Linked DNA regions of Saccharomyces cerevisiae S288C. Changing the gene in region 2 together with the main gene of any one other region gives a genetic interaction. Each region holds a gene or a part of one and is shown on either strand. Other genes may lie near its edges.

Evidence for each region.
Region 1: mutations in MRX16 (region 2) and YNL046W together harm fitness more than expected from each alone (negative genetic interaction), as found in Saccharomyces cerevisiae (2 studies listed by BioGRID).

Annotation. Positions count from the first base shown.
Region 1 is NC_001146.8:530,993-547,190, reverse strand, and holds YNL046W (uncharacterized protein), read right to left. Parts: upstream 4,888-16,198; coding exon 4,369-4,887; downstream 1-4,368. Other genes in the region: YNL042W-B (uncharacterized protein), read right to left, coding at 1-78; YIP3 (Yip3p), read right to left, coding at 1,314-1,820, 1,900-1,923; LAP2 (bifunctional aminopeptidase/epoxide hydrolase), read right to left, coding at 2,213-4,228; SLM2 (phosphatidylinositol 4,5-bisphosphate-binding protein), read left to right, coding at 5,310-7,280; alpha-1,2-mannosyltransferase ALG11, read right to left, coding at 7,372-9,018; COPII subunit SFB2, read left to right, coding at 9,280-11,910; YNL050C (uncharacterized protein), read left to right, coding at 12,209-12,225, 12,317-13,112; Golgi transport complex subunit COG5, read right to left, coding at 13,321-14,532; COX5A (cytochrome c oxidase subunit Va), read right to left, coding at 15,005-15,466; tyrosine/serine/threonine protein phosphatase MSG5, read right to left, coding at 15,780-16,198.
Region 2 is NC_001136.10:710,967-727,881, forward strand, and holds MRX16 (Mrx16p), read right to left. Parts: upstream 9,338-16,915; coding exon 7,850-9,337; downstream 1-7,849. Other genes in the region: MTC5 (Mtc5p), read left to right, coding at 1-2,029; SAC6 (fimbrin), read right to left, coding at 2,374-4,281, 4,393-4,413; FIN1 (Fin1p), read right to left, coding at 4,781-5,656; YDR131C (uncharacterized protein), read right to left, coding at 5,824-7,494; ATP-binding cassette glutathione S-conjugate transporter YCF1, read right to left, coding at 12,038-16,585.

The DNA.
Region 1 (16,198 bases), on a different chromosome or scaffold from region 2:
AGCTGGGAATTGAACCCAGGGCCTCTCGCATGCTTTGTCTTCCTGTTTAGGCAGGAAGTCGCCCAAAGCGAGAATCATACCACTAGACCACACGCCCGATTATTTCGTGTGGTTGTTGTATTACGGGCTCGAGTAATACCGGAGTGTCTTGACAATCCTAATATAAACAGTCTTAGGGAAGTAACCAGTTGTCAAAACGGTTTATCAGATTAATTCACGGAATGTTACTTATCTTATATATTATATAAAATATGAATCATACTAAGTGGTGGAAGCGCGGAATCTCGGATCTAAACTAATTGTTCAGGCATTTATACTTTGGGTAGTTCAGCTAGGGAAGGTCGGGTTTTGTCTCATGTTGTTCGTTTTGTTATAAGGTTGTTTCATATGTGTTTTATGAACGTTCAGGGTGACGTATTGTCATACTGACATATCTCATTTTGAGATACAACAGTGGTTGTGTCATGAAGTTAGTCAATACTAGCCGTCTTAACAATATTAATACCTGTCAGAAGAGCAGCTTGATTGACGGAATGTTACTTATCCCATATAATCTATATAGGATCTAAATCTGACTAAAGGGTGGAAGCATAGATCTTCGGAGCTAAACTGATTGCTCAACTATTTATACGTTTAGGTTCATCAAGGCAACCGGGGCTTTGAAAATACTTAATCTTGTTTTTTTCGCAACAACTGTTTCATACGTGTTTCATACGTCTTGTACGTTTAGGTTGATGAATCTGGTGATGCAGGGGTATTTCATTTTGAAGTGTAGTAGAGGTCTTCTAATGAAAACTCGGCAGGGCCCTAAGCTCAAACTCTACCTCATCTACGTTGACCCTTTTTACCTTCTAGATGCCATCAGTTGTTAATAGTAGTAATGGAATACGATTTGCCAATCAATCTTACAATCGCATATAATTCGTCACTGTTGAATATCTGCGACGTACACCATCTAATCACTTCGCTTAGTCGATATAACCATTTGTTTGAAAAGATGAATTGATTCTAATCTTGCCTCTCTCGGGTTATGTTATTATTATTTTTACGTTTTGGCACGTGAATCTTCAGTAATTGATTGCACGCTTGATAAACGAAAAAAACATAAACAAATAAGGTAAGACTGCATTGTAAATCCTAGGAATGAGAAAGAACAGAGAAGCTAACTGCAATTATGAATGGTGTCTGTATACAATTAAATACTAATGTTGACGGAGAAAGAGAATAAAAGACAAGAATTAACTAAATATTGAAGAAGAGTAAAATACACAATAGAAAAGAATGACTCCTTTTCCCAACACTTGTAGGAGTGTTCAAACAGTTTCTTCATCAAATACAGTTTCGATGGGTTTTTCCATCAATGATGCATGTCCGAAAACGCTGACGGCAGAAGCACCGATCAACCATAGCAAAGTTGAGATTGGCGAAGCTAAGAAACCTATTGGCACAGCAACACAAACCAGTCCGGTGTATAGTTGGTTGGTCTTGAAAGAACCAAATGGAGTTACGAGCTCCTCACCCTTTAGTTTGTTTATACCAACAATACCAGCTACGACTAGAACAATAACAAAGAGTAGCAACAAGTTTGTTAATAATGTGTAAATGCTCAAACAACCAATAATCAAACCATAGTTACTGGAAAAGTACTTCAGGTTATACGCCACTCTGGATTGAACTTCCCCAAAGTTTTGAGGTTTGGAAATTTTCTTGAAATTGAAAAATTCTTGCGGGGTGCGAAGGGTTGCTAATTTAGATTGCAAGGATTGGAACTCGCTCTTAATATTTTCCATGGAGAAGTTTTGAGTGAAACGTGAAACTTGCTATAGAAATATAGAAAAAAGGTTAACGCGTTAGTATAGTTTTTCAATGATGCAAATGTGTTTACAATTTAGAACTTACGGCTAAAGCTCCTAACTGATTCATTATTGGAGTATTTGATGTTATTTTATGCGTATTTGACGGCTGATAGTTCCAAACTCAGTGTTCAAAGCCCTGCAATATTGAATTCAATCTGAATTCTTTCGATTTGTATTTATATTCGTTGTTATTATTTATTTTTTCTTTTTGCCTCGATTGCATGTGACAAAAGTGCAAAATTCGTATCGCACGACACAGAACTCCGCCACTAATTAGAACCAGAGAAGTAGCAATGAAGGCTCATTAGTAGGTTATATTTAATTGTTTACGTATTCATGTTACGACACGTCCCTTTTCAAAGACCTAAATCTTGTTTCACAAGAGCTTTACAGATTGGATGATACGTGTCCTTGAATTTGTCGAAAGTTGCAAGTGCCAATCGACGGTCTACAGAGTTTAATAGTCTGTAACCGGGACGGACAAACTTCATTCTACCTACAGTTCCCAACCAATCGGCCAAATGCTTATATTCTTCTTGCAGCTTGGCAAAGATCTGAAATTTGAACATCTTGAAAACAACTTCCGCGTTCTGTGATTTAACAATGTTATCTTGATAGATATCTAACAGTGCCCTAGATGCCACGGGAAACTTGGCCCAGTCAAAATCTTTTGGTTTCTTGTTGGAATGGCCATTTTGTGTCAAAGTTTCCAAGAACAAAACCAATTGATTTGAATTAAAATCCTTAATGTCAATAGCGTTAAATTCAGACCGGAAATCCTCTGTGGTTTTCAAATGTTGAGCCATTTCGACCCACTTGTCAGCCAATTGATAAACATTATCAGCCAAAGCCGTAATAAAATGAGGCCTTGGTGGCATACCTGGTTTATACAGCCAAGTTTCCCAGTCAACGGAATCCAAAATTTCTTTCTTTTCGGGATAGAACTCATACAAAGTATCCAAAAACTGGAAAGTATCCAATGATTTTTTGGCAAACTTCTTGAAATAGTGTCTAATAAATGGATCAAATTCAGCCTTACCACCCAAAATAGTTTCCAAGTGAAATAGTAAGTTGAACCCCTTTTCGTACGGAACAGTGGAAAAGGCATCGTCAGGGTCAGTGTTATCGTTCAAGTTTTGTACCAAAGTGGAAAATCTTTCAGGATCTTTCATAGAATCAATAGAATTCTGCAAATCGCTCCAACCAATCAGAGCACTGAAATGTCTAGTTGGTTCGCCATGAATGGCACCAATAATTCTTCTTTCTAAGTAAACGGTCCAACCTTCATTCAACCAAAAATGATTCCACGAACAATTGGTCACTAAGTTACCAGACCATGAGTGAGCAAGTTCATGGGCGATGACATCAATGTTGGATCTGTCATGTGCAATCAAGGTGGGCGTAGCAAAAGTCATATTCGGAGACTCCATACCGCCGTAAGGGTACGAATCGACGTTAACTAAGATATCATAAGTGCCCCACTCGTATTCAAAGATAATTTTCTCTGCAGTTTGAATGAATTTCTCTACATCGTTTTCAAATTCCCATTGACAATCTTTCAAACGAAATGGTTCAGTGTAAACTGTGGAACGAGGTCCAATTGGAGCGCTTGACAAATCACCGGAAGCAATACCGATCAGGTAGGCTGGGATAGGGACTTTCTGTTCAAATCTGTAAATATTAGTATCCTTGCTTGTATCTTCAATCCTGATGCCTGAAAAAACCACTGGTAGTGGGGACTCGATAGATGCAGTGAAAGTAGACTTCACAGAGGGAGTATCAAAGCAGGGGAACAAAGACCTCGCATGAATAGCTTCCAACTGTGAAAACACGTACGGTTTACCGCCCTTGGTTTGCTTGCTGTTCAACCATTGCAAAGCGGTGCACTTGTCAGTCGTACGAAATTGAATATTCAAGGTAAAGTTATCGTTGCAAGAAGCGTTATTGATGACTAACCTGGAGCCCAATGGCTCCTTTCTTTGCTCAATTTGAAAATCTGCCTTGGAACCATCAATATGAACCTCCTGGACATCCAAATAGGATGTATCCAGATGTAATTCATCCGATTTATTTTTACCTTCGTGCAGTTTTTTCAATTGGAATGTAACGCTCCCTGAAATGGCTGACTTTTCGAAGGAAACAGACAGGTTTAAATCGGTGTGAAGAACTGCGAAGTCCTTATAATTTGATAAAGTAGACTGATCGTATTCGGGGGAGCGGGAAGGTCTTCTCTGCTCAATTGAAAGAGGCAACATTTTATGAGGGGTGGAAATGTGTATGTTTCTTGAGATTACAGTAAGTAAACCTCGAAATCGAAGCGTGGGCAGGTAAATAGAGCTGGAATGACGAATGACAAATGGAAGCAAGAACATCAATTAGAACACCAAGATAACCTAATACATAAAGCAAACTATACTAAAGTGCGTTTATATAAGTCAAACGAAAAAGTGGAAGAAAAAAAGTGACATGATTTTCCATACGCAATGCCCCCGGAAACTGAAGACGCATTGTGTCAAAAGATGAATGAAAGCCACGACGAAACAGCCGAAAATGGTGACAGGAGAGGGCCAACGAGCCCCGTGAGAAGACCTGTGTAGGGCGTACCCATGAAGGAGGCCCCTATGATTTTCCATTTGGAAACACTCAGGATGTTTTCTGATGACTGGATGATGATGTCCTTGAGGACCAGGAGACAGCCAAAAAATACAATTGAGATCGCGAGCACAACAACCAAAGGCCTTGTGTTGATGTCATAGCGAACATACCTTTCATTGATATGATGCGTAGATGGCGTTACTGACGGTGAGCTGTTGTACATAGAGTTTTTGACTCTCACGCTTTGATTATCCCTAAAATCACCCGGAATTCTGTACTGGGATTCAACCGGCACTGCCTGCTTCTGTACCCTTCTTTTATGCAGCAGCTTCCGCAGTTGGTTAGTGGTTCCGCATTTCTGTGATTTGCTTCCATCTACAGTTGAAGTTTTCCTCTTAAAGAATTGCCCAATTGACCTCTTTGATACGTGCTCCATTAATATCTTGCGCCGAAATTGTCACACTATGCTCACGTATGATTAGTGTATTTATATATGAATAATTCAAATGGCAGGCAGTTTCTTGTTCGAGCCAGCATTGGCGAAAAAAATGCCAAAAGTAGAAGTAAATACGGTAGACACTCCAGCAAGATAAAGCTGCAATATATAACACATCACGGCGATGCTTGTATATTTAGGAGCTCTTACGTCCACCAATGCTAATATATCCTCCTAATGATGGCGCTGATACTGGTAAAAACTCATAATGGTAGTAGTCATTAGCCAATACCTGCCTCTTTTTTCCGGGTCATGCCGCATTCTTTAATCAAAAGGCGATGCAACCTACTACATGAGAAGATGACCGCGCAAGCAAAGGTTTAGGAGAGCGTTATACGCTTTACCCAGCCGTCCATTGCACCATGTCTTACCAACGGAACAGTGCAAGAGCCTCTCTTGACCTCAGAAGTCAATATCAACAACTGGAAGGCAGAATGAGGTCAGAACATTTTAATCCCGCCTATCAACAGCAGCAACAAAAAGGCCAGAACATACCCCTGTCACTACCCTCGTCGCTTGCGCAACGCAATCCTATACCTTACCCTATCGACGCTGTGACTTCCGATCCCACTATCCCGGCTCAGTTGAACGTATATGATCACGATCGGCAAAATTCGATAGTCGATGCTGCGGCTGGCACCAATACGACGCACTCTTTGAACTCTAATAATATTCCATCATCACAAAATAATAATATTAATAATAACAATATCAATAATGTTGGTTCCTTCACTGACCCTTCCATGCTAACGCTGCCAAAAATGTCTTTACATAGCCACCAGAAGCAGTATGATTCTAACCAAAACGATCCTAGGTCCCCTCTGGCGATACTGATACCGACTTCTGCGCAGCCCACTGATGTCTTGTCTGCTAGGTTTTCTGCCTGGAGAAATGTTATTCGTGCCATCTTGGTATATCTCTCTGAGACCGCCTCAATACAGGACGAAATAGTTAGACAGCAACTGAGGTTGTCCCATGCTGTGCAGTTCCCCTTTTTCAGCATTGAAAACCAATATCAACCGGTCTCTAATGAAGACAAGTCCATGCAGAAATTTTTTCTGCCCTTAGGAAGTGGATCCGTTCAAGATTTGCCCACGATGCTGACCAAGTATCATGATAATCTGGCCTCTTTGGCATCGAAAAGTTCCAAGGAGTTGACCAGTGAAATTATACCCAGGCTAGAGGATTTGAGAAGAGATTTACTAGTCAAGATTAAAGAAATTAAGGCTTTGCAATCTGATTTTAAAAATTCCTGTAACAAAGAGCTTCAGCAAACTAAACACTTGATGAAGCTTTTTAATGAATCATTAAAAGAATGTAAATTAGGTACACCAAAGAGTGACCCATTTTTGATAAAATTGCAATTGGAAAAGCAAATCAAAAGACAGTTGGTGGAAGAAAATTATTTGCACGAGGCATTCGATAACTTGCAGAATTCAGGGGCCCAGTTAGAAAGTGTTATTGTAATGGAAATACAGAACGGATTGACCAGCTACGCTAGAATTCTTGGCAAAGAAGCCCAAGTTGTATTTGACTCAGTTATCTCTAAATTAGATTCCACGATACTGAACAAAAACACGAATCTTGAATGGGATAGTTTCATTCTAAGGAATATTTCCAATTTTGTGCCTCCAAATTTACCCATGAGGAGGTTTAAAGAGATCTCGTATAGCAATCAAAACGATCCTTTTACTTTTGAAGTTAAATCTGGGTTTCTGGAGAAAAGATCAAAATTTTTAAAGTCATACTCACGTGGGTTTTATGTCCTCACTCCAAGCTTTTTACATGAATTTAAGACACCAGATAAGCATAAATTTTCCACACCGTTAATGTCAATACCATTAGTGGAATGTACTGTCACTGAGCATTCCAAAAAGACGAAATCCAACTCAGAGCAGGGCAAGAACAAGTTTATATTGCGTACGAATTCTAACGGACTAATACATAGGGGTCACAACTGGGTATTCAAAGTAGACTCTTATGACGATATGATAGAATGGTTTGGAAATATCAAAGCCTTATCAAGTTTGCCCAACTATGACGACAAATGCAAATATGTGAGTAAAGTTGCCAAACTGTCTAAAGAAAAAGCCAAGAGTAATGAAAACACCACGGAGAGCGTGACCCCCCAGGTAACTAATGAGCAACATACGAGATACGATGATGTGAGTAGTAGCAATTTTCCCTTGAATTCCATTCCAAAATTAGACAATTTGACAATCACTAACACCACGTCATCGATACCGGAAACGAATGATTCACAAATTCAGAATAGGGTTCCTGAATTTTACATTGAAAATGTAGATTCCCCTAGAAAAAGCAATCAGCTGTGACAAGTAAGTTAATTATATAGTAATGCTCTAGTTTGTATGTAATATTATGTATAAGTTTTCTCATAAACAAGGCTTCTATTTTCAAAAAACATCAGCCCCTTTCCTCCTCTTCTAATAATTTACAAATAGGATTCAGTACAAAGTTTTCCCAATCTTTATCAAACTTCAAATCAGAGAATTTATACAATGAATACTGCTGGTTTCTTGCGCCCATCACCCTTAGGCAGTCATAGTCCAGTTTCGTAATTTGTAAGAAAAGGTCGGACAAATTAGGGTATCTCAGAGGATCTTTGGTTGTGTTATAATCAGGATCACTCGGCTCTTTAAAGAAAAATCCAGTAGTTTCACCATCATCTTCGAGTTTTGCAAAATATTTCTTTTGTAACTCCCATTGTGGTGGAGCTTTTCCGATATTCCCGTTGGCATCCCATGGAGTAACTATATCTAACAATGGGCCCGCCGAGGCATGAACTATGGGGATCAAACCGGAAGCCATATACTCTACAACTGCAATTCCAAAGTGCTCATTCCACATGGCATTAACACCGAAAGTAGATTTGTTTAGTAATATTTCAATCTTATCGAAGGGCAGATTTTTTTCGAATGATATCAAATGTTTAGGAATTTTTAATACATTTTCTGACCAGTCTTGTAAACTTTTAACATAATTTTCATCTTGCTTGGATCTAGTGGACCCCGCCATTATCAATTTAATTGGCGATACAGAATCCGGTAAATTTTTCAAGAAAGTTGCAAAGGACTCAATGATTAACTTATGACGTTTCTCAGGACGAAATTGTGCCAACACAATTGCTTGATTTAATCTCTCACCCTTTGCAGTACCAAACTTTTGCTTCCAATCTACTAATTTCTCAGTAGAGCATGGAGGATATATAATTTTACACGTATTGGATTGCCAAATTTGCTTTATGTGGTTATTTGTCCATGTTGAGTTTGTGATTACAATATCAATTTTAGAACCAATGGATTGATAAATTAACATAAAAACTTTCCAGTATAATATTTTACCGTAAACTTTGATACCCTTCTTGGGCATTTTGAACAGCTTATTTAACATGTCTTTTGACATTATCGGATAATGCGTATATGTGACGATAGGAATTCTCCTCAAAAACCTAGCAATAATAGGATAGCTGAAAGGGTACCCCATTGTATCAATCCATATATCAGGTGGACACTGAATAATGGATTCAAATGCGAGAATCATTGATCCAATTGCTTGTCCAATCAACGTGAAATGCTTCCATGTTGAAGAATCCACCAAGTATCTTAGCTTCAATGAAATGAAAAATATTCTATCCGAATCCAAGTCGTAATCGAACTTCGCTTTCACATTATTTAGAATATTCTCCGGAGTAACATTCTCTCCATTCACAAAATCCCCTGAATAAATGACAATAACGTTCTTAGCATCTTTTCTCAAAGTGATATCTACAGCTTTCCAGAGCACTTTTTCCCCACCACCACCAGCATTACAATACGGATGAAAAAAACCAAAAACTTTCACATTCTTCTCACCACAGGAGGCAACTGCTCTGTTCAGTAATGAAGATTTTTTGGAGAACGGATTCAAGCTGGAATACACCCATTGACGGAAGATCCACGTGAGAACCTTAATTAGTCCATACACTAGTACTAAAGATGATACAACATATTTTTTGAACCCAAAATGAGACTTAACCTCTTCAAAATTGTAGTTTGTCCAAGCACTGCCCATTTTCGCCTGCAATCACCTGAACATGTTGGTCACACTTGGATACTAACATCTATCTTCACTTCACTTACCTCTCAATCTTATTATTTATTGAACTTTTCACTTTTTGTTTAGCTTACCCGAAGGACATAGATGTAGCGATGACAACGATGAATGATACGTCAGTTAAAAGGGTCTTCGTCGAACTCTTCATCTAACCCTTCATTTGCAGTGTGCTTGGTTGATGAACCTTCTTCCATTAATGATCGACAGCTGCAGTGAATAATGTCTCATCATAAGAAGAGGGTGTACCCTCAAGCTCAGGTGCCATACATTGCAAGTATGCCAATAGTTGCAGAGCAACAGCAGTCTCAACAACAAATCGACCAAACAGCTTATGCAATGGGCAACCTACAATTGAACAATAGGGCTAACTCATTTACACAGCTAGCTCAAAATCAACAGTTTCCTGGTTCTGGGAAAGTGGTCAATCAACTATACCCTGTGGATTTGTTTACAGAATTACCTCCGCCAATCCGTGACCTGTCTTTACCACCTCTTCCAATCACCATTTCTCAGGATAACATTGTGACTCCATCCGAATATTCAAATGTTCCATACCAGTACGTCAGATCTACTTTGAAAGCGGTGCCAAAAACAAACTCTCTGCTGAAGAAAACGAAGTTACCATTTGCCATTGTTATTAGACCATATTTGCATTTGCAAGATTCAGACAACCAAGTACCGCTAAATACTGACGGAGTCATTGTCCGCTGTCGCCGTTGTCGTTCATATATGAACCCTTTTGTCGTTTTCATTAACCAAGGGAGAAAATGGCAATGTAATATATGCCGTTTCAAAAATGATGTCCCATTTGGGTTTGATCAGAACTTACAAGGCGCTCCAATCAACAGATATGAAAGAAACGAAATTAAAAACTCTGTCGTGGATTACTTGGCTCCCGTAGAATATTCTGTTAGGGAACCCCCACCATCTGTTTATGTATTTCTTTTAGATGTTTCTCAAAACGCTGTCAAAAATGGTTTATTGGCTACTTCTGCCAGAACCATTTTAGAAAACATAGAATTTCTACCAAATCATGATGGAAGGACCAGAATTGCTATTATATGTGTTGATCATAGCCTTCATTATTTTTACGTTCCTTTGGATGATGATTATGAAGTATCGGATGAGGATGATGAAGAATCAGATGGTGAAGAAGAAGATGAAGACGAGGAAGAGGAAGACGTTGATAATTCAGAAACAATTCAAATGTTTGATATTGGCGATTTGGATGAACCATTTTTACCAATGCCGAGTGATGAATTAGTAGTTCCACTAAAATATTGTAAAAATAATCTGGAAACATTGTTGAAAAAGATACCTGAAATTTTTCAAGACACACACAGTAGCAAGTTTGCACTTGGACCTGCCCTAAAAGCTGCGTCAAATTTGATAAAAAGCACTGGAGGCAAAGTTGAAGTCATTTCATCAACTTTACCAAATACTGGCATCGGGAAATTGAAAAAAAGAAGTGAACAGGGCATATTAAACACACCAAAAGAAAGCTCTCAGCTACTGTCGTGTAAAGATTCCTTTTATAAAACATTCACAATTGAGTGTAATAAACTACAAATAACAGTGGACATGTTTCTGGCATCAGAGGACTACATGGACGTTGCCACTCTATCTCACCTGGGCCGTTTTTCTGGTGGTCAAACACATTTTTATCCTGGTTTTAATGCCACCAGTTTGAACGATGTTACTAAGTTTACTAGGGAATTATCAAGGCATTTATCCATGGATATTTCAATGGAAGCTGTTATGAGAGTTCGTTGTTCTACTGGCTTGAGGGCCACATCGTTTTTTGGCCATTTTTTTAACAGATCCTCTGATTTATGCGCTTTTTCCACAATGCCTAGAGATCAGTCTTATCTTTTCGGGATATCCATCGAAGACTCATTAATGGCAGAATATTGCTACTTGCAAGTGTCAACATTGTTGACTCTAAACACTGGTGAACGTAGAATTAGAGTCATGACGTTAGCTCTACCAACGTCCGAATCAGCTAGGGAAGTGTTTGCATCCGCAGATCAACTAGCCATTACTGATTTCATGACACAAAACGCGGTGACTAAGGCTTTGAATTCAAGCATGTACTCTGCGAGGGATTTTATCACAAAATCGCTCGAAGATATTTTAAATGCCTACAAAAAAGAAATTTCGATGTCTAATATAAATTCAGTAACCTCACTTAACCTATGCGCAAATTTGAGAATGTTACCTCTATTAATGAATGGACTAAGTAAACATATAGCCCTCAGACCGGGCGTTGTTCCAAGCGATTACCGTGCAAGTGCGTTGAATAGATTGGAAACGGAGCCTCTTCATTATTTGATAAAGAGCATTTACCCTACAGTTTACTCCCTGCACGACATGCCCGACGAAGTCGGTCTACCTGACTTTGAAGGAAAAACGGTTCTTCCTGAACCTATAAATGCCACTATATCTCTTTTCGAAAGATATGGCCTGTATTTAATTGACAATTCCGCAGAATTATTTTTATGGGTTGGCGGAGATGCTGTTCCTGAGTTACTAATAGATGTATTCAATACTGACACCATATCTCAAATTCCTGTGGGGAAAAGTGAACTGCCTCTTTTGAACGATTCGCCTTTCAATGAAAGACTAAGGAGGATAATCGGTAGAATTAGAGAAAACAATGATACAATCACATTTCAATCATTATACATAATAAGAGGACCATCTATTAACGAGCCCGCCAACCTAAACTCCGAAAAAGATATGGCTTCTTTAAGGCTATGGGTATTAAGTACTCTTGTCGAAGACAAAGTTTTAAATTGTGCTAGTTATAGAGAATACTTACAGAGTATGAAGACTAGTATCAACAGATAACAATCAGTCTTTCTTTAATCTTTATCTTTATTAACCGATCATCATGTATAGATTTTGATATACAATACAGATAGAAATAAAAGTAAATCGTGAAAGATTTTGGCCTTTGCGTGTGAGAGTTATGTACTTCAAAAATGCCATTCTGTTCCTACATAAAAAATAAGTATTTTCAAGTCATCGGATCAGTACGAAAAAGAAAAATTTGAAGTACTTAAAATACGACCAGTTTCATTTAAACAGCAATGGAAAAATCTCCTCTAATGAAAAAAAAAGAAAAACATTGAAATTCAGTATAAAAATGTCTGAATTTAAGATGTATGCTTTGACATAAGATACAAGTTTGCCTCTAATTTCATTTTTTTACTAACTTTTCAACGAATCGTTTAATATTCTAATTATTTTGCAGAGTATCAAGAAAAGATCTTTATAATGAAGGAGAGGGATTAGGAGAAGATTATGATTCCAATAGTAGTAGTAAAAATAATAGTGAGCATGTAGAGGTATTAGTACCGCCAACAGAATTTGAATTCGTTGAAGTTGAAAGAACCGACTCATCATTAGATCTCAAAGAAAGTAATAACAGCGCACATGAACAAAAGGAAGAAAAACAAGAAGAATTCGAGTTCCCGTTATTTTCGTTTGGTGTGGTTGAAGCATCGACTAGCCCAGCTCAAGAAGAACAAGGTTCATCAACTCAAGAGAAGGATACGCCACAGACTGAAGTAAGTTTGATGAAAATTTCATTGAAGGAACCTGAAGAAGAAATAATCAACCAAGAAAGGCCCAAAGACTACTACTTTGCAAGCTATTCTGCAGACCAAAAGCTGCAATTCCAACAGAGCTCTATCGACTATGATGTGATAATACAAGAAAGTACAAAAATTCTGGAGGATGATCTACGTATTCGTGATAAATGGCCATATTGCCAGGGTCGAATAATAGATCTGTATAAGCACAATGCGAGAATAGAGTTAGAGCAGCAGAAGGAATTGAAGATTAAAAAGAGGAGACCTGGTCAAAAGCAACGTGCAGCCAAAAAACTGGCACTTGAAAGAACCAAGGAGCGTGATACCAAAGCTCGTGAGATAAAGAAACAGTTGAAGAAAAAGTTTCATAAGCGTGGTGGAAAGAAAAACAAAAAAAAGGTACCTTTGAACCCACTGGCAAAAGCTGGCAGTACCCCTAAGTTTAGGACAGAATGACCACGTAAATGTATATATATACATATTAATACTTCATATAAACTAACCGATATTGGATTTCTCATAATAACTATTACTAGTATAATCTTTAATAATATAAACAAATATTACATTTCATGTAATTTTTATTAAACATATGCACATGCTATTGAAAATTGCTTTAGATTCATCCTATTTCATCAACATTCTTAATTTTATGTAAACTGTCTCACTTATTTAGAGAAATAGATACTGAGTTTAGCATTACATCCAAGTAGCTTTGGTAATCACTATTATCAGAAGATTTTTTCATACTTTGCTTCATAGTGTTTATAATAAAATCTTTATTTTTTAACAGCGACTTGCCCACAGGGCCTCCTCTATTAACAGATATATCAAAGTCCTTTTTGAAGGCAGATGAAACTTTGCTCCAAAACAGATCTCTCGGTGTACCAGAACCTGCTTTACTCTTCATTGAGGTATATTCTGATAAAAGATTGCCAAGGCGTGATTTATTAGCAGCAATAGATCTCGAGGAATTCGTAACATTATCCGTTTTGATGTTCTGTAGTAGTGTTTCTAAAATGTAGATGTTATAACCTTTTTCAACAACTTCATTGAACGCATCAGGAAACATCCTGATAGAATTTAAAATTTTTGATAGGATTTGTGAGCTCATTGTAACATTAGATAGTACAATCTTGTTTATTGCAGACTCGAATTCTTGAGATGAAAGTAGATATAAGGAGTAGGCCAGCTGAGATATTATTTCTTTGTTCGATTTGATTTTAATAGAGTTCAAGCACTCTTTACACATTTGTAAAGACAAAAATGTTATTAACTCTCTTTTGTTGGGGGAAACAATGTCCTGATCTAATTGTTTAATTTTCCGCAAGGATTTTAGATTTTTATTTTCTTCCAAAGTAATTTCAAGTTGGTAGTGTAAGGAGGCTAAATTAATAGCTGTTGATGTGCTTAGTTGGGCTGTTTTAGACAGTGCGTTTAATTTGTTTGATAAATGAATATAAAGCAATGCTCCGCGCAAGAGAAAAGATGTTTGGTAAACTTTACTCAACGCTAGTTGGACTTTCCTCGCTCTTTCATAAGGATCTAGAACTTGATTCTTTAGTCTATCGTACGACATATTCATATATCCCAAACTTGGTTTCAACTCACCAACTATGGTTGAATTGACGTGTTCATTTTTGTAAATTAACTCTATTATCTCCAATGGGTTGCTATTCATCAATTGGTCTATTCTAGAGTCAATCTCATGTAGATCATAGTTTAGCTTTTTAAGAGGCGTGTTAAGGTCTAAAATGGTTGTGTCATTGTTATTAGTAGCCTTCAGTAAGTCATTACCAAATTGTTTAGCATCAAAATCAGGCTCCAGCAGAGACTCAAAATCTTCTAAATCGTTTGCCATTGGCGCTATTGTCATACCTCCAGCTCTTTTCTTCTTTTTTGTTACACATTTTTATCTTCCATATCTATTCTAGTTGATTTTTTTTTTTTCATAGTATTCAACCAAATGGAGAAGTTTTTAAGAAATACGTCTTTGAAAGGGAGGCATAGAATAACAAGGTAAACCCATTTATACAGGATTCCCTCATACTATATTAGCTTATTTCATTCCAGGGGGGTTCCCTTAAATATAAGAATAATAAGAATAATGATATAAAATTATATGTCTAACAAAAAATTACAAAATTTGAGTAAATAAATAAAGAAAAAATGTGAGAGTGGCAATCAGCCAATTTTATGTTTGATATGTTGGCATTGTATTGGGCGGATGCCCATGGATACACTTATAATGTAATAAGATATTCACTTTCGTACAGGTCACAGACTAGCTGAAAAAACCATGACAATCGTTAACCCCTATTGATTTCCTTTCAAAATTTCTGGCCTGTTCATTTAGATTGGACCTGAGAATAACCACCCCAAGGATTAGCATTCTTCGACTTCAAATATTCGTCACTCTTTAGCTGCCACTCCTTATTCATGGTCTTTGCGTCTTGGCCACCCGCCATCCTGACGACAGCAAAAAGTCCCACTGAAAATAGTAGGCCTGCAGCAACACCTTTGGCAATAAAACTGGAATCACCCTTATTCAATACAGGTCTTCTTGGGCCCCATTCTCCGTAAGAAATGTACCACACAGCTTGCTTTTCAGGCTCAGTAAGCTGTGCCCATGGTAATTTTTGACGTTCACTCAACTTACTGACAATATCCTGCTGCTCAGTGGAGGGCATGTTCTCCCATCTGGATTGCAGATCCATTACAGCAGCGTTGGAAAGAGCATGTGTTTGAGCGAATCTTACGGATGTAATACGTGATAGTCCACCAGCTCTAGTAAAAGTGTTACGTAACATTGTAGATGCGTTCTTAGTTGATCTTGTGTTTGGTGCATTGCTTGCAAACAGAAGACAAAATACGAGGACTGATGGTTCTTATTTAATTGATTGTTCTTTTTAACTTTTCGCCGCCGCTTGTATCGGCGCAAAACGTAGGGCCAATCACAAACGAGGAAAACGTCTATTGGACGATTTTTGCAATGTGACACTTACAATGATGAATAATTACTATGTAGGCAGAAGTGCTAAGTACATTCTATTTAGAAGCGTAGGGAGGCGGTCTGCCTGCAGATCTGATAGTCATAAAGATTCTTTTGGGAGATGCTGTCCCTTAAGGAAGAAACATCATCTGTTCCGGGGCAGTAGATATTGATTCGTTGTCCACAGAAGCTTCCAGTGAATCTGCGGGTTGAGACAAACTTTTACAGTGCTCATCATCTTCCCCGCGTTCTGTGGCCAGTGCGGTCCTTGCTCCAGTCAACGTAGCAGGAGTTCTTGGCGTTACTTCCGAAGAATTGACAGAACTGTCATTCGGCGACGATGATAGATTCGTTACCATGGGAAAACTTCTAAAGGACGCAGAAGAGTAGGACTTCGTAGTCGAGGAAACTTCGTTGTTTCCGATGTCATCTTCCTCAGGCATGTGAACAGTCTCTCCTTCTTCGCCCGGTGAGTTCTTGGACAACATGGTTCCCCATTCCATAAGTTGGAAGATGAGACCCATGTTTGGACTTATATCCTTAGCAACAC
Region 2 (16,915 bases):
ATTCTTACGAATAAGTATTAATTTCCCTCTCAACTATCCAAACAAAGGGGACCCCCCCAAATTCACAATTGAAGAGAATTCAAATTTAACCATGAGTAAGAGACAAGAAATACTTTCCAATTTAGCAACAATTGGTCAAAAGTATACTGACTCAAATCTTTACTGCCTGGAGCCATGTATACGATTTGTTTTAGGTGAGAAGGTTAGCCTGGAGGACATCGAAGAAGGGCAAGAACCCTTATTAAATTTTGATATTGCAGATCACATAGATTTTGAAGAATTATCGTCACTGGATAGTTCATATTCCGATTCTCAAAACCCGGAAAACCTTTCTTCGCAATCAGATATAGAGTCATACAAGGAAGCACTGGTATTCCCAGATACTTCGAATCAAGGTTTGGATTTTGGAAGAAATTTAGCTCTTGATACGACACCTGTTCCAAATGGGTGTGGATCTTGTTGGACTGCAACAGGTGAACTCTTCTGCTTCTTTGCAAATGAGAAAAAACCCGAGAAAAAGCAAAATGCAATAATTAAACTCTCTCAAAAAGAAGCAGGGGTAGAGAAGCATCCTTTTAAAATTGAGCCTCAAGTTTTATATGATAAGGAAGTTGACAGCAGTGTAATCACCGCTGCTGATGAATTGAAAGCTCGCCCTAAGCGGTACGTGGACACCTTGGGGCTGGGAGGCGGTACTAATGGGGATTCAAGAACATACTTTGACGACGAGACATCTTCCGACGATTCATTTGATAGTGTCGCGGACGATTGGGACGATATATTGAGAAATGATATAATAGTGAGAACAAAAATTCCAATACTAAGAGGTAATTTTAAAGCTTTCAGCTCAGTACATTCGGAATCCGGGAAAACAGTAGAATCTACCAAAAAAAATAAGAATTTAGTGATTTCCAAAAATTTCAGCAGTTTATTAAGCGACCGCAAAGAACTAGCATTAGAATACTTATTTATGGATGCCACACCGGAAGGATTTGCTAGAAATAACGCTTTGGTGGCAGAAAAGTTTGACCTTGATGAAATTAGTCATTGTTGGCAAATATTATCTGATATGTTGATAGACCAAAGTGATTACGATCCTTATACTACTATATGGAATAACCATCCCATGGGGATAAAGTGGTTCATAAAGGAAGCGATTGTCTACTTTGAGAGGCAACAAAATTTACAGATGCTGGCCATGTTATGCTGTGTCATATTAAGCGCCAGGAGAAAAAAGATTCCAGCCAGATATTATGGGCAAGAATTAGAGAATATGGAAGGAACCATTGTGTTTAATGACAACGAAAGTCAAAACACATCATTTTGGAAAGGATCTGATGCTTTTTCCACCAGGTCTAGGAGTAGCACTGTTACACCAAATTTTTATGGTAATCATTTGAGAGGAAAAAACATTCATGGAGGAGACAACTCCTCAATAAGGTCCGACGACCACCACGCTAGGTTAAGGACGCACAACACTCTTAATGGTAGTAGTAAATTTACGGAGCCGGCCCAAAAGCAGGGCAGCCGTGCCATTTCATCCAGCCCTTTTCATAGTAGAATGCCTGACATCAAAGTCGAGCTTTTACATGACGATATTATAGAAGCTTATGAACAAGAAGACCTCTTACATTTAGAGGTATCAGACATACCAAAGTTCCAAACTTATATTTATCAATATTCAAAGTTACTTTTTAGATGGGGACTGCCTTTAGAAAGGGTCAAAATTCTAAAAGTTAGTACTGATTTCAGAAGTTCTTATAGTTCCCAAGGCATCCCCCCTAACAATAACAAGAAAAGTCCTTACAATGGTGTACTTACGCACTGGATCGAGAACAACGAGTTTGGAGAAGAAAAATTCCTAGCCCGAAATTGTAATTACTGTGATTTAAGAGTGACAAGAAGTAGCTTCATATGTGGAAATTGTCAACATGTTTTACACTCTTCGTGCGCGAGGATATGGTGGGAGATTGGTGATGAGTGCCCATCTGGATGTGGGTGCAATTGTCCGGAAATGTTCGATGCCTAAAAGCTTAACTATCACGTACATTTTCTGCATATTTCAAAGAACCTTGGATGTATATGAAAAAAAGTTCACAGGATATATGGCTTAATAAGTAGTTTATTTACGATTTTTTAATCCAGTAGAGGCATGATAGAAGACGACAACGGAATCATTGAGCGTTGGAGGCATTTTTACAATGGCTCAGTAATCACGAATAAAAGTAGGTGGAAGTTGAAATCTATTATTACATATTAAAAACTTCAGAAATACTTGAGGCTATATATTGTTGTACACTTAACCAATCGTATAACGGAGCATTGGAACAAGAAAGCTGAGTAGAAAACAGGTTACGAAAGTTGTTTGTTGGCTCATTTGTTCAAAGTCATTAACGAAGCGATAAAAGTAATAATTAATCTTGCACGAACTTCGTTGATATCTTCTGGCACCAACCAAATCAAAGCACCCAACTTTCTAGCAATAGAAATAGCCAATCTTGCGTTTGCGTACCTTTCTTCCTCGGTGTTACCAGGGGTGACTAGATCATAATCAACATAGCCCGGCGCGATACCATTCAGAACATCCAATAAGAAGTGGGCGTTTGATAAAGCTTGGTCCTTAAATGATCTAATGGTAGAGTTTTTACCACCTTTAGTTACCTGGTCTTGGGCCCACTTTAATATTTGAGAATCACTCATGTCTCTACCACTTGAGGATAATGTCTTCATGGTTATCGAAATATTTCTACGCATCAATTGCCACACTAACCCTAAGGTCAGTAATTTGTTACCATCTACAATATCAGATCCTTCGATACCAACCAAAGAAAATCCTTTGGCTCTGCCCAAGTCGACTGCATAGTTGGTGTTTTCTAAGGCTTTGAATCTGGATATCTCTGCACCCGAGGCCGGTCTTTTGTTGACATGTTTAAAATCAACAGCACCGGGCATCACCTTTTCGTAAGCTTGCAATAATATCAAACCATCCTTCAAATCATCAAACAGCGAAATGACAGGTGGATCAACGTCAAGAGAGTTCAACCATAAGGTAAAGACTCTTGCCTCTCTCTCACCTTCGGCGTCAAATTCTTCAATTTCAGGCTTTTCCTCTTCCTGAATAGGCTCTAATCCAGGATGTGTATTGAATAGATGTGCCACGAAAGCCAGGTTTAATTTAGGGTTCCCCGCAACTAATGAACTTGGGGTTAAATACTTTCTACAATCTAGCTTTTCAGCATTTTGTAAAACTTGCTCAGCTCTCTCCATTAAATCTGTGGTTTGTAATGGTGCCTTAGAACACAAGGCGGGGTCCAACTGGTTCAACAAGATAGTATAGTTTTCACCATCAGACACGTCTTTTGAAAAATTGGTAACCCTTCTGTTCCAGTTTGCTTGCTTCAAATGGTAGTTAAACCAACGTAGTAGAATTTGCTCCGGAGGCAACCTCAAAAATTGCTCCAACGTTTCATCATCCTCCAATAGACGGTATAACTCAGGATGCAGCTTAATATCAATTTTACTTAACAAACCTCTCCTAATAATTTGCCAAATCAAACCCAGGATCAAATGCTCTCTACCTTCAATAATGTCCTCGGAATGAACATTAACAACGACACAACCAATGGCTTTTGCAGAATTAATAACAATATTAGCATTTTCACTAGCCTGAAAATTATTCAATTCCTTACCCTTCTTAGGCCAATTCAAAACTCTTGTATCGATAGTATCAGGAACAGAGTCGTTGATCAACTTAGATAGCACCAACCCATCCCTACATTCATCAAATAATTGGAAAGTATCAGTAGGAAATGGAAGCAAATCACCTATATCTTGGTCTCCCGCCAAGACGCTATTGATATGTTTAGTAAATTCACGTCTTTCTTCTTCATTGATGGTATGTGTAGTACCTGTTTGGGAGCCAGCAACAATAATCTTGGCTTGAGTACCCTTACCCTTGTGCTGTAGTCCTGTGGCAGCAGTGGAAACAATAGGGGTTGAGTTAGGTGCTACGTTGAAAGTGGTCTGTGGAGCAGCTCCTGTTTTAGATTCTCTTAATTTTGCAACCAACCCGACGTAATCGTCCAGTTCAACACGGCCTGACGCATCCACACCCACATGCTTCAGGGTTTCTCTTGCTTCGTCATAAGTAGCATCACCATCTTTGGACACCGCTTCTAGAGCTTGCTGTTTTTCAACCCATCCTTTATCATCTAAGTCAATGGCTCTGAACTTTTCAATTGTGGAAAAAAGATCCTCTTGAGTCAAAATTGGAAATTTTCTCTAATCGCAGAAGAGTTTGTTAGTATATGAAACGTTTATTACAACCTAAAAGGTAGAAAAAACTTTTTCACTGTGCTCAGCAGTGTGGGAATTCGAGAAAGGCATACATACTTGTAATTTGACAATATTCATTGTGTTTTGGTGTACTCCTTAGGGCTAATATATCAGCTTCTTCTCTGATAATTTTAGTGTAAAGAGCTTTCTTGTTCTCCTGAAATAACCAAAATTTATATCGATAAATCTTCATTATAAACTTCGCCCCGTACTTTTGATATTTTTCCGCCTCCCGAGGAGTGCTTTTTCACATGAAGGCCATCGGGAACAAGAAGAAAAGCCGTTCACGTAAGAAAATAGGACCCTATATCCGGTCAGGATCACTCAAGCTGTATGTAAATGTAATATAGACAAAGCACCTTTAACTGCTAAGAATTAATTATAGTGTCGGAAATATAACATAACTTGCTTACTTCCTGTGTAAAAAATGTGAGAAGGGATATGATTACTTATGTTTCGGTATTTCCGTGAGTTGAAGTTCGATATTGGATAATCTTGATTCAATCTCTCGCTGTCTTCTCAACATTTGTAGTAGCAAGTCCTTTATTTCTTTAAGTTCCACGGTTTCTTCAGTCACTATATTATCAGGTAGTTTAAATTTTACACTTTTCTGGAAACTAGCTTTGTGTATCTTACCTTCGTTCGCCAGCATGGAATTCAGTTTAGTGTTCGATTTAGTAAGGGATTCTATGCCATTTCCCACGTCTTCCTCTTCTTTCTTGAGTTCAACTAATAAATTCTTCCCTTTCAATTTAGCTCGAGGAAGGTCATTCTCAAATGGGGCGTCCTTGAGCTCAGTATTAGAACAGAGGTCAGTGTTGCTTTTGGCATCCGATGGGAGAATATGTTGCTGCTGTTGCTGCTGTATCCTTTCAGGTGACATGAGTCCATTCTTAAACCGGGCCCGTATTCTCGTTAACGAACCATCACCCCCGATTTTATTTTCATTACTGAATGTCAGTTTGGTTGGTGATGTAGGGAATATTATATTAGTTATATGATCTGAGTTTTGGATCTTCACATTTTTATTCGAATTTTTGAACTGAGGCCTATCCAGGCTTTGAGTTTCCTTAGAGACATAGCCCTTCAGACATTCCGGCGACATAATCCTTCTTGGTGTTACTTGTATACTATGCTTCATTCCATCTGTCTTGTTAGGTGATATCCTCATAGGTGGTTTCAAAAACTCTTTTTGGCTTGTCGTCCTCAAAGGGGACATACTCAATCTCACAAAGACATTGTCCTTGTCACTTGGTATATTATTTCGACCAATCGTATTCCCTATGTCACGTAAACTCCTGCGGTTGCTTTTATTGCTCATAATTTGTTTTATTGAACTATGTCACATCACTGCAATCCAGTGAGAACACTGAGAAAGCTCTAACTAGACTATACAATCCATTTGTTTTGATTTCCTCTTGTTGACAATTTGCAGTATTTAGAGTATATATCATTATGTACGTGTTATAACCGCCATGTCTCACAGTATCAACTAAATAGAGCTTCTGCGTCCACCAATTCATAAACAGAGTTGCTTTTATAGCCATTATTATAGAAGAGGGGAACCGCGCATCGTTGTAACTCGTCCACTTGTATTATTTTTGTAGGTATACCGTTGATGGTTAGATATTCTAAGTTCGGCAAACTTTGCTCAAAAACTTTAAATACGTCTTTTAGATAATGAAGGTATAAGTGGTACAAACTAATGGCATCTTCTCTAGTAATTTTATTCACTGTAATATTCTCAGTATTTTCTATGGTGCTTTGCAGATTTTCATTGAACTTTCGTACAAACGTTTCAATAGGTACAGAATCCCATCCCATCGCAGGTGATTCGTTGTCAATAATGTTTGTATAGGGCATGATCTTGTTCTCGAAAAACATTTGGTAAAAGAAATTATGGGCTTGGAACTTATTTGGGTTCTTTAAAAGTTTTGACCGGGTTTCAGGAAAGATTTTTTTTAGAATGACCTCGTGAATTGTATTTTTGCAAGTTGAACAAGGGCAGAAACCATCGAAATTCAAGCGAGTTAGTGGGTTATCTGTCATGGGAAAAAAAAGCCTGTGATTTAGTTGGCAGTGTATGTCAAAACGCTGTAATTTTTTGCCACACACTTGTTTAGATAAGAAGTTAATCAACGACACATCGAAGTCAAATTTACCCATGTAATCAAGTTTCAGTATCTTTAAATTGTGAAACACAGCCAAACAATTCATTAGAAAAAATTCGCTGTAAACCAATGACGCTAATGATAGTTTCTCAATGTTCGGAAATTTCCAAAATCCTTCTAGCCCCCATTTGACATATAACCTGTCAAAACCACCTTCTTCGCCAGAGGGAAAATCGTCGCGACTGTACCAAGACAAAATCTCTAGCTGCCTTAAGGTGGAAGCATCAAATATGTCGATGTATTCTAGCTCTTTTAAGAAGTCATCGGAAGCGTCGTACTCCGCAAGGTTAAGTGTGTCGGGTCGCAAATTTAATACCAATGCTTTGATCTTCATAGGAGACCCGGTATTTTTGAAGTACTTCAATGCGTTTATATGAATGGAAAGTTTTTCTAATCGAGATAGATCGCACTTCAAGAGCAACCGATCAATTTTATTCAAATAAGAACCGCTTACACTGTTATGGGTGGGCATTAACGTTGGTGGCGTTAATGTTAGAGTTTTTAATTGCTTTGATAAAGGTTCTAGCCCCTTGTTAACTGATGAGCGAACAAATTGATCGACAAATTTCAAATTGGATCCATACTCGGATAGCAATTTAAGTACATTTGTCATCACATCTTCATTTAAATGCCATGTACAACGTATTCGATTAATTAAGGGACATAATCTTTTCGGTGACTCTGCTAATGTTCTTTCGAAATAACTAAATTTCACTTTAGCTAGTCTTCTATTCGACATGTCGTTTTTAGTATTGGAATCATCTTCATCTATGTAGTGAAAGTTTAGGACAGACCAATAACAGGTTCCAAATGAGTTATCATAGTCACCATTGATGTGATAGGTTTCATTAAGAAATAAATTCTGGTAGATGAAAGGTATAATTGATTCATAGGATCTTTTGCATACATATGTTAACGAAATTTTATCTTCCTGCGGAATTCTCCAGGCAATTTGTTTAAAAATCTCATAAGGTAACTTATCAAACATTTTTCGGGCCCTTTCAAATTGGCAGTAGGGTTATTTTTATCTATTTTAAGACACCAAAGTTTCTTCTTTTTGCACACATTATCCTACTATTTTCTCTACGTTACTTTATCTCTGGTTTTAAGAGGTGTCTGTATCCTAATTCCCGAAGTCGATTTTTTTCTTACATATTAACTGATAAATAACAAGAGAAAAGAGACAAGAGCCTACAAAAAGTAAGAAAAGAAGCTACTACAGGAATGTGAGTTACAATGGGTTTCCGTTATACTTCAAGTACTATAATGGCATATAAAAAATACAACGGAGAGCATACATATACTTAAAAGCTTGGCAGAAGAGTAATTTTATCAAGCTAATCCTACAGATATTCATATCCCTTGTAGTATTCCTTAGTTCCGTTAAATGCTATAGCTTTAATAGCTATCAGCATAATATTGCCATCTTTCACGGCCAGTTTCCAGAGAGACTTTCTTAAGTAAAGCTTTAAACCAGAACAAAATCTAAGGTCAAGTGGATCAGACACGTCAATGACCCTGTCATTGAATTTATTTTTATCAGTTAGCAAAGTTTGAACTTGAGAAATCTTAATGCCGTTTATGTCCAAATCACAGAGATATATGCATGCTGGAAGTAAATAATGAGTTTCAATTTTCGTCTGCGTACTATCGGATGGGAACCGATACTGGTAATTTTTCAACTTAGGCGCACCAGAGGGTGTATTTGGCAAATGACTTCCAAATAAGGCCTCAAACTTATAGGCGGATTCTCCAGTTATGTCTACATGGATACTTTGGCTTTCCTTATTGAGGATTATCGTACAATCAGTCGAATTTATTTGAAATATCAACTCTCTCGGATGCTTATCTAAAAAAGGTCTCTTATAACAAAGCATATTCCAGGAATCGTTATATTTTTCAGTCATGTCAAGTTTAATCTTTTTATTTGCTGGCTGTTCACGGGTTTTTGATAGCGAGTCGCATTCATTTATGCTACAGAAATCGTCTTCAAAGTAGGGCGAGGTTGAAAATGCAGAAGAAGCTGGAAAAGTGATGCCTTTTTTTGACAAATCCTTCAATAGGAGGCAAATCTCTTCTTTCCTTGTTATTGGGTTATAGCTAATATGAGATTTGATTAGCCGCTGTTCGAGATTTAAAAGCCTGTAATAACGGCACTCTTTTATCAAGGCATTTCTTTTATTATCATCTAGATCGATGGATGCTCCTCCCAGTAACGTCAGCAAATCTTTGAAGTACTCAGAAGATCTTGGAATGTAAGGAGCAGAATGAGATGGAGGCCTTAATAGTTTTTTAGATATTATCAGCTCTTCCACATCGATATAAACTGTAGCCGCATATATTTCGAAATAATTTGGGGAATCTCCTTCTCTTCTAAATAAATTTTTCGCTATCTTGAATGATTGTCCACCAATGTTGGTAAAATAATAGTCCGTTTCTTTCAGTAAAGATCGCAATCGCGGTAAATTGTAGTACATCGCATCTGCGAAAAGCATGGTATATTGTACTTCATCCTTAATCTCAATTATATATCCTTGCAAATGTTGATAGATCCATTCAAAAACTTCGGCTGATCTGTCTATGAATAGAACCTCATTTTTATTAGATTCCATGGTATCGTTATTACTGTCATCGTTATTGGAAGGAGAGCGCTTCTTAGAAAAATATTCGGTGAAGAAACTAGGACCATCCGAGCTTAAAGAAGCACCGCTGATTTTGAATAATGATTTCCCCACCTGAATCTTATACATTTTCTCGTGTGGGAGTATTTGAGGAATATTCGGATCGAAATATTCTTGTGACAAAGTTGCTACTGTTGGAGAATTTGACATTTTCTATATGATTATATTGGGAACTTTCTTTGTTGGTAATATTTACGAGTGCCACAGACCGGTCTTTAATTCGCTATCTTTCGTTAGATTATGGTATATAACATTCACACATAAGATATACATTTTTTTCACTGCTCAGACTATTCAATTTTATTCGAGAGGAGAATCCATTAGAATTTTGACTTAGTAAGCAATTGCGGCTTACATGATTTTCCAAGAAGTTCAGTCGCCCGTGCAACAAAGACAAAAGCAAGCTAAGAAAAATGCCAGCTCAGTGGTCCGGATAAAATCTTAAAAGGATACGTTTGTAAAAGAAGCAATGATAAGCCGGCCAGATCGTAATAATGAATCACTAATATAAAACTATTATATTTCAGAAAAGAGGAAACCGAGATAGACTCATCGTCCGCTTATTATGTAAGATATTGAATCCATGTTCTTGATTAGCGTAAACCGACTGGGCAAACAAAAAAACATTATTTTTGAATTAACGAACCTTAAACAACCTATATTAAGATATATGATAAAAATACAATGCAACCAGTATATATAAAAAAAGTTTAGTTGCGTGTAACCTAAGAGATATTAACTTTATATTAATATTATTATAATAAACATTTAGTTATGGAGTGTTGCCTCCTAGAATTAGAATAAGAAATTACCAGAATATCTTATTAATTGAAATAAAACGATTTTGTGGAAGCTGTATTGACGGAAAAGTACTTAACCATTTTTCTAAAAATATATTAAAGAAAAGGTTGAGTAAATTACAACAATAAAGCGGCAGCACCAGCCAACAAAGCACCGGCAGCTGGCAAAGCCTTAACAGCGGCACCAGTGTAGGAGGTAACAGTTTGAGTGCTAGAACCTTGTTGGGTTGGCTTTTCAGTTGGCTTTTCGGTTGGCTTTTCAGTTGGAGCTGGAGAAGTGGTATTCTTTGGTGCTTCAGTGGTTGGCAATGGACACCAGGTGGTGTATTAAGTGATAACGTCATTTACGGTGACGGTAGCAGTGGAAACCAAAGCTGGGGAAACTGTTTCAGAACAAACGTGGTCCTCACAAGAAGTGATAGTGACCAAAGTGGTAGATTCTTCTGTGACAGTAGCAGTGGTAATGTTAGAAGCGGCGGAGGCAACAGCGGCAATAGCAGCGATAGAAGCGACGGTAGAGAATTGCATTTTTAATTTGTAGTTATTTTGAAGCGAACGAAAGAAGATGTTTGTTATCCTTGGTTTTTTATTCTATGAAAAAATTTTAAAAAAGAGAGTCTAGCAGAGAGAAGTCGATGAAGAACAACCACGATCCAGCAACGGTTTATATACTTCGAGAGATGACTAAACCATCCTATATGTTGTGGAAAGTGTACACAAAAAAATTGCAAAAAAAATAGTTAGAAAAAGAAAAGTGAGATAAGTACAAGGAAAAAAAAATAACAAACACCAGAAAAATTCCTGCGCGGTTTCTGTGAAGGGGCCGTTGATTCACCCTCTGCACTGGTCCCTGAAAGGGACTACCGACCATACGCGTAGCCCCTTTTCTCACTGGAAACCATCCGAACGCCGATGGAACACGCGTCTAAAAGTGAGCACGGACCGGACTCGCGGATTTAAAAGGGCTTCCCCACTGCAGCGTGTCCTGCAGCTCAAACCCAGCCATCAATTCGAAATAGGAAAACTCCTTCCTTTTTGAGCGATCGTGTTGTAGCAGCACTTCAAAACGGATGACTTTCTCCGCACTGAAACGCATGGGCAGTCCGGCAAGAGAAAACACCGCGTCGAAGCACGGTTATTCATGTTGGAGCAGTTCGCACCATGCTATTGTTTTGAAATGGCTGCCAAAAATATTCATGTTGCACGTTTCAATGCTTGACAGAAAGGCAATATGGCGGAGAACCAGTGTGAGTTGACCCCAACAAATGAAAAAAAAAAATATAATAAAAATAAAAATAAAAAAACAAACAAAAAGTAAGTCTCCTTCAAGGACAACTGAATAGGAAGTTTGAGCCGGTTTCCTATGCCTATAGCCTTGGATGAGTGAGGAGAAAACGTGCAGTTAATAAAATTAGCATACTTTAGGTTTTAGGATGAAACTTTTTCTCCCACAATCCTTATTTGTTATGACACCAGAGTGCCTAATTCAATCGAAAAACAGATAAGGGGAATTTCTGGAATTAGGGTGACAGAATGAGCTACGTAAAATTAACGGCAATGCGAAGGGCATCTTCATATTATTTTTCTCACCTTGCTGCTATTCTAATTGCATTTCCGTTATTAAGGTTTGCCCCTTCTCCGAAGGTAAGCTGCGGAATTTCCTGATAAGTGCATTACCCCGCATAAGGTTCCCCTTACGATACCAGAAAAGGAATCAGTGTCGATCGTATTTTCGGCATGTGGATTATCCTTGCACCTGTTCTCCGGAGAAATGTTGGTTTTTTTCTGTAAGGGGTATGTGGTGAGGAGGTAAGCCATTATCATCGTTGCCTTCATTATATCTTTTTATTGCTGGCCGATCTCTGATATTATGATGAATATTATGAAAAGTGTTCCTTTTTTCTTGCCTAAGTGACGTGACGTCTCCTTTCTAGGCAAGCTATGCAGCCAGTATCTCGTTGAAAATTAAAGTACTTTTCTTATTTACTTATTTATTTTATCCATCCTACGTACCAGATTGTGCGGGACAGGTTTTTATTAGTTTCACAGTTTAATTTTCATTGACCAAACCAGCCTCCATGCACAGTGAATAGAACAATGATTTGTTATCACTTAATAACTGGCCCGGAGAGTCAAACTCGGCTACTTTACCATTGTCCAACACTATGATTCTATCACTGTCCATTATCGTGTTCAGTCTATGCGCGATGGTCAAGATAGTTCTGTCCTTGAAAGCAGTACGAATCGTCTCTTGGACGACTTTATCTGTCTCCACGTCGACTGCGGCCGTGGCTTCATCAAGCACCAAAATCTTTGATGGAACCAACATTGCTCTTGCAAGACATAATAATTGTCTTTGTCCAACACTTAAGTTGCCACCACCTTCGGTTAGTTGGGCATCTAATCCGTCATTGCTCATTGATAGCACGTGTTCTTTCAAATGAGAAAGTTCCAATGCCCTCCAAATAGCTTCATCAGTGTATTGGTTAATGGGATCAATGTTCTCACGAACAGTGCCCTCAAAAACTTGAGAATCCTGAGGTATGATTGACAATTTATGTCTCAAATCATATAACCCAATCTCGTTGATGGCAATGTTGTCGATTACGATGTTTCCCTCGCTAGCCTCAATCATCCTGAATAATGCTAGCGTTAATGAGGATTTTCCCGCACCCGTTCTACCCACGATACCAACTTTTTCATTTGGTTTAATGTGTATATTAATGTGCTTCAGAACAAGATCAAGCTCCGGCCTATAACGAGTGGAATAATTATTAAACTTTATATCACCCTGGCTCGGCCATTCTTTGGGTGGTCTGTGGCCTTCAACTATTAAAGGTGCCTCGCTCTTCAAATCAGCATATTCCTTTATTCTTTCCACTGAAACAATATTCGTTTCAACTTCCACAGTCATTCTAACAATCCAATTTAACGTTTGAGTGATTTGTAAAGCATAGCTTAATGATAAACCCACCATACCTGCCGTTAATGTGCCTTGTTTTAGTCTAAAAACGGATAAAGTTGCAGCACCTAGAATGATAATTGAACCAATAAGTTCCAACCTATATGCTAGCCAACGGTTAGCATTGATAGAGGGATAGAACGCACTCATGTTATTATCAATGCGGCATTGATTAATGTGGGAAAACCTTTTCTGTTGAGAATAACCTCTAACCGTTGCAAGGCCACCCAAAGTCTCTTGGAAATGAGAGTAGATTGGAGACCTAGTAATAGAGTCTAAACGACGCAACTCCCTTGATGTTCTCAGGTAATACTGCTGGTAGTAGATGTAAAACACACTTAGTGGAATGATAATGAAGATAAATTGCCATGTCGTCGCACAGATAACCGTAATAGTGAATGTGACTTTCACTGCATTGACGAAAAACTGAGAAAATGTTCTTCCTAATAAAGCATCCACTTTGTATATGTCATTTGAGAATCTGTTTAGAATTCTACCGATTGGTGTTGTTTCAAAAAACGTCATTGGGGCTCTCAACACAGAGTTTGTCATCAAGTTGTGTAAATATTTGGAGGCATGAATGGTACAAAAAACCCAGAGAACGATTGTCTGGATTAATGTTGCCAGTGCTGAACCAATACCAAGTGCAAAATAAATGGCCAAGTAACGCGCGGCATTTGGATTAGATCCATAGCGGCTATTAACTTCAGACCAATGTTTCAACCAAACGTTACCCATAACAGAGAGGAACATCGATATAACAATAAACAATATGAATACACAAACGCTTTTCGGGTTGCAAGCTTTAGCGTACTCTAGGTAAATGTTCCACTTTACTTTTCCCTGTTCACGATGCTCTCTTTTAGCAATATTTTCATCGTCACCAAAATCGATGCTTCCCAAAGTTGCATCACTGGCCCTCCTTAAACTTATGGCGTCAGAGTTGCCAAAATCCAAATCATTTAATTTCTGCAGTTGTTCCAGCTCTCCTTCTACAGGTATACTACTTTCTCGAACTGAGCTTTCAGAGGAGTCACCGAATTCATTCGACTTACCGTTATTTTTTTTACCATAGTTGTTGAGCAATTTCCATAATGGCGAATCAGCGTCCTTCGTAATCTCATCATATGTACCCTGCTGTGTGATTTCTCCATTATCTAATAATGCAATAGAATCTGCGATGGATAACGCGCTCACCTTATTAGTGGCTAATACCTTCGTTTTTGTATGTAATAAACCATTTGGACCCAACACATGTTCGATCAAGTGCCTGGCAACGTGTTCATCAACAGCTGCCAAAGGATCATCAAGTAAATAAGTGTCAGCTCTCGCATAAACTGCTCTTGCTAAAGACAAACGAGCTTTTTGTCCTCCAGATAAGGAGATCCCTTTCTCGCCAACTAATGTCTTATCTCCATCCATCAAAATTGCAAGATCAATAGTTAACGCACAGGCCTTGATCGTTTTTTCGTAAAATTCCGCGTCGTATCTATGCCCAAATAAAATGTTTTCCTTTACAGTACCATTCATTATCCATGGAACTTGTGAAACATAAGCAACAGAACCATGAACGGTGGCGAAACCTTTAACCCTGAATAGATCACCTAACATGCATGACAATAGAGCTGTTTTACCACTGCCAACTTTACCAACAATACAGGTCAAATTTCCTTTTTTAGCTTGGAAATTAATATTCTTTAAGGCTACTTTGTATTCCGGTTTCCGTTGCCATAAAAAGGTAGCATCATCTCCAATGTTAATGGCTACATCGCCAATATTTTTTACTTTTGGTAAACGCTGAACCGAATCTGGTTGTAGCTCTTCATTGGTAAAGAATGTAAATAATCTACCAATAGAAACAGAAGCTTCGATAAAAGAATTTAAAACCATAGGAATAATCATTAGTGGGAATGAGAGCAGGTTGAACAGAGTCAAAGCAGGGAAAACTAAGTCAGTAGTCAATGCTCTATCCTCAGTATAAACAAATACAGCAAAGGTACAACATGAAACAAGGAATGGTACTATATTGAACTGAAAACTTGTCACAGCCATATAACATCCTAGTTTTGTAAGATTTTTTAACTCTTTGTTATTTCTTACTTCTTCTAGCTTTTCCCTATAAGGCTTCTCCCATGCATATAACTTCAAAGATTTAATATTGTTTAGTATTTCACTTATAACACGGGTCCTTTCATCTTTGTACTTCATCTGGGATTTTTGCAACTTCTTTTGTATCCTCATCAAAAATGAGTTCAATGGCATCATAATAACTAGTATAATCACGCCAACCCACATGGAATTTCCCAACAACTTATACAGAGAATATAAGCAAATAATGATTTGAAAAGGCCCTGACCATATTAAATTTAGCCATTGTGTTAAATCTTGTAATTTTTGAACATCCACACTCATGAGATTGACAATGTCACCGGTAGAGGAAAGTCCAGAAGCCTCATTAGATAGCACTAAGGATTTTTGATATATTAAAGCCGTTAGGGCGCTCTTAATATACATGCCTGTGTTGAAGACATTCAGGAAATATTGATGCAGGACAGATGTCTGAGTAAAGCCCACCAGAAACATAGCAAACGCAATCAAAAACCCTCTTACAATGGGTAATTTTTGTGGGTGGTTATTTTCAAACCCTTGAAGAGAAGAATGGTCATCCTGTCTCTCACTGTTATAGTCTGTGACGAACTTGATTAAAATCCTTAGTAGTTGTGGTTGAGTAAATGCTAGAACATCATGAATTGCTTTAAAGAATGCGGCTAAAAGCATTTTAGATCCAAAAGTTCTGCATATAGCCCATGATAATGAAGGATTTGATTTTTGCTTCAACTCATTTTCCCAGTTTTTCTCCAATTTTTGAGAGAGTTCTTCACTACTAAAGTTCCTCGGTAATTTATATAAATCTGCTTCCACTAAGTATTTTTCATAGCCAGTTTTCATCAAACCTGACATCCAAGAGAAGGTAATCCTGGAAAATATGTTTGCGCTATCGTATGGATTTGGTTTTCTTCTTGTTAAAGTTTGATGTATGTGTTGATGTGGCATTAGCGGCTTCTTTGGAAGAGCTTCAAGTAACAGGATACTGGCACATGTTATTACTTGGAATAACGTTAGTATGAAACCCGTTTGTCCGGAATACCAAATGCCTTCGTAGGTGTGTCTAATTAGAATATTTATTAGTTTAGCAAAATTACCGAATGTTTCAAAAAGCCAATAGAATAAAAGTACCGTATTGGCTACAACTGATCTATCGTATTCTATCCAGTGTAAGGCTAAAGCAACAAATAAAGATAACATTGTAGAAGCATATTGACTTACAATGGTAAAGTTTTCCGCTTCTTCTTTAGAAATATTTAAAGACGCAAGTGAAACAAACGCTATCTCCAACAGAACTAGTGCCATCCTAGAGACAATAATCCAATTCCGCCTATATTTGATGCCAGAGTGTTTTTTCTTGCAAAGGTTAACTAAATCTCTGATACCGAAGGTTATCATGAAAATTGCTGATAGATTTAGGATCACACCGTCGATGAAGCATTGAGTAAAGTCACCGTAAAAGGATATAGGTCCAAACCCTTCAGGAGATCTACAGAGCTTGCAGGCCCATGAAACAAGATTACCAGCCATTTTCTTGTTCTTTACGGTAGTACGATACCCCTAATTTATTCTCAAACTGTTAATTGAAAAATTGTAGGTTGTAAACCAGCTTCCACATAGCAGATGATCACAAGAGGTTATCGCACCTTTTATAGCAGCTGCTAACTTTTTTCATCAATTTCGTAATTACTAAGCCGTAACCTTCCACCGCCCAAGCATCACACCAGGAGTTACATATTTTTGTATTATCATAAAGAAACACACGCCAAGATATCTACAGAAACCAGATGTTAGCATTAGATATATATATTCGTATTGATGCAGCATAACAAGCGTACTATGGATTGCAAAGTAATGTAG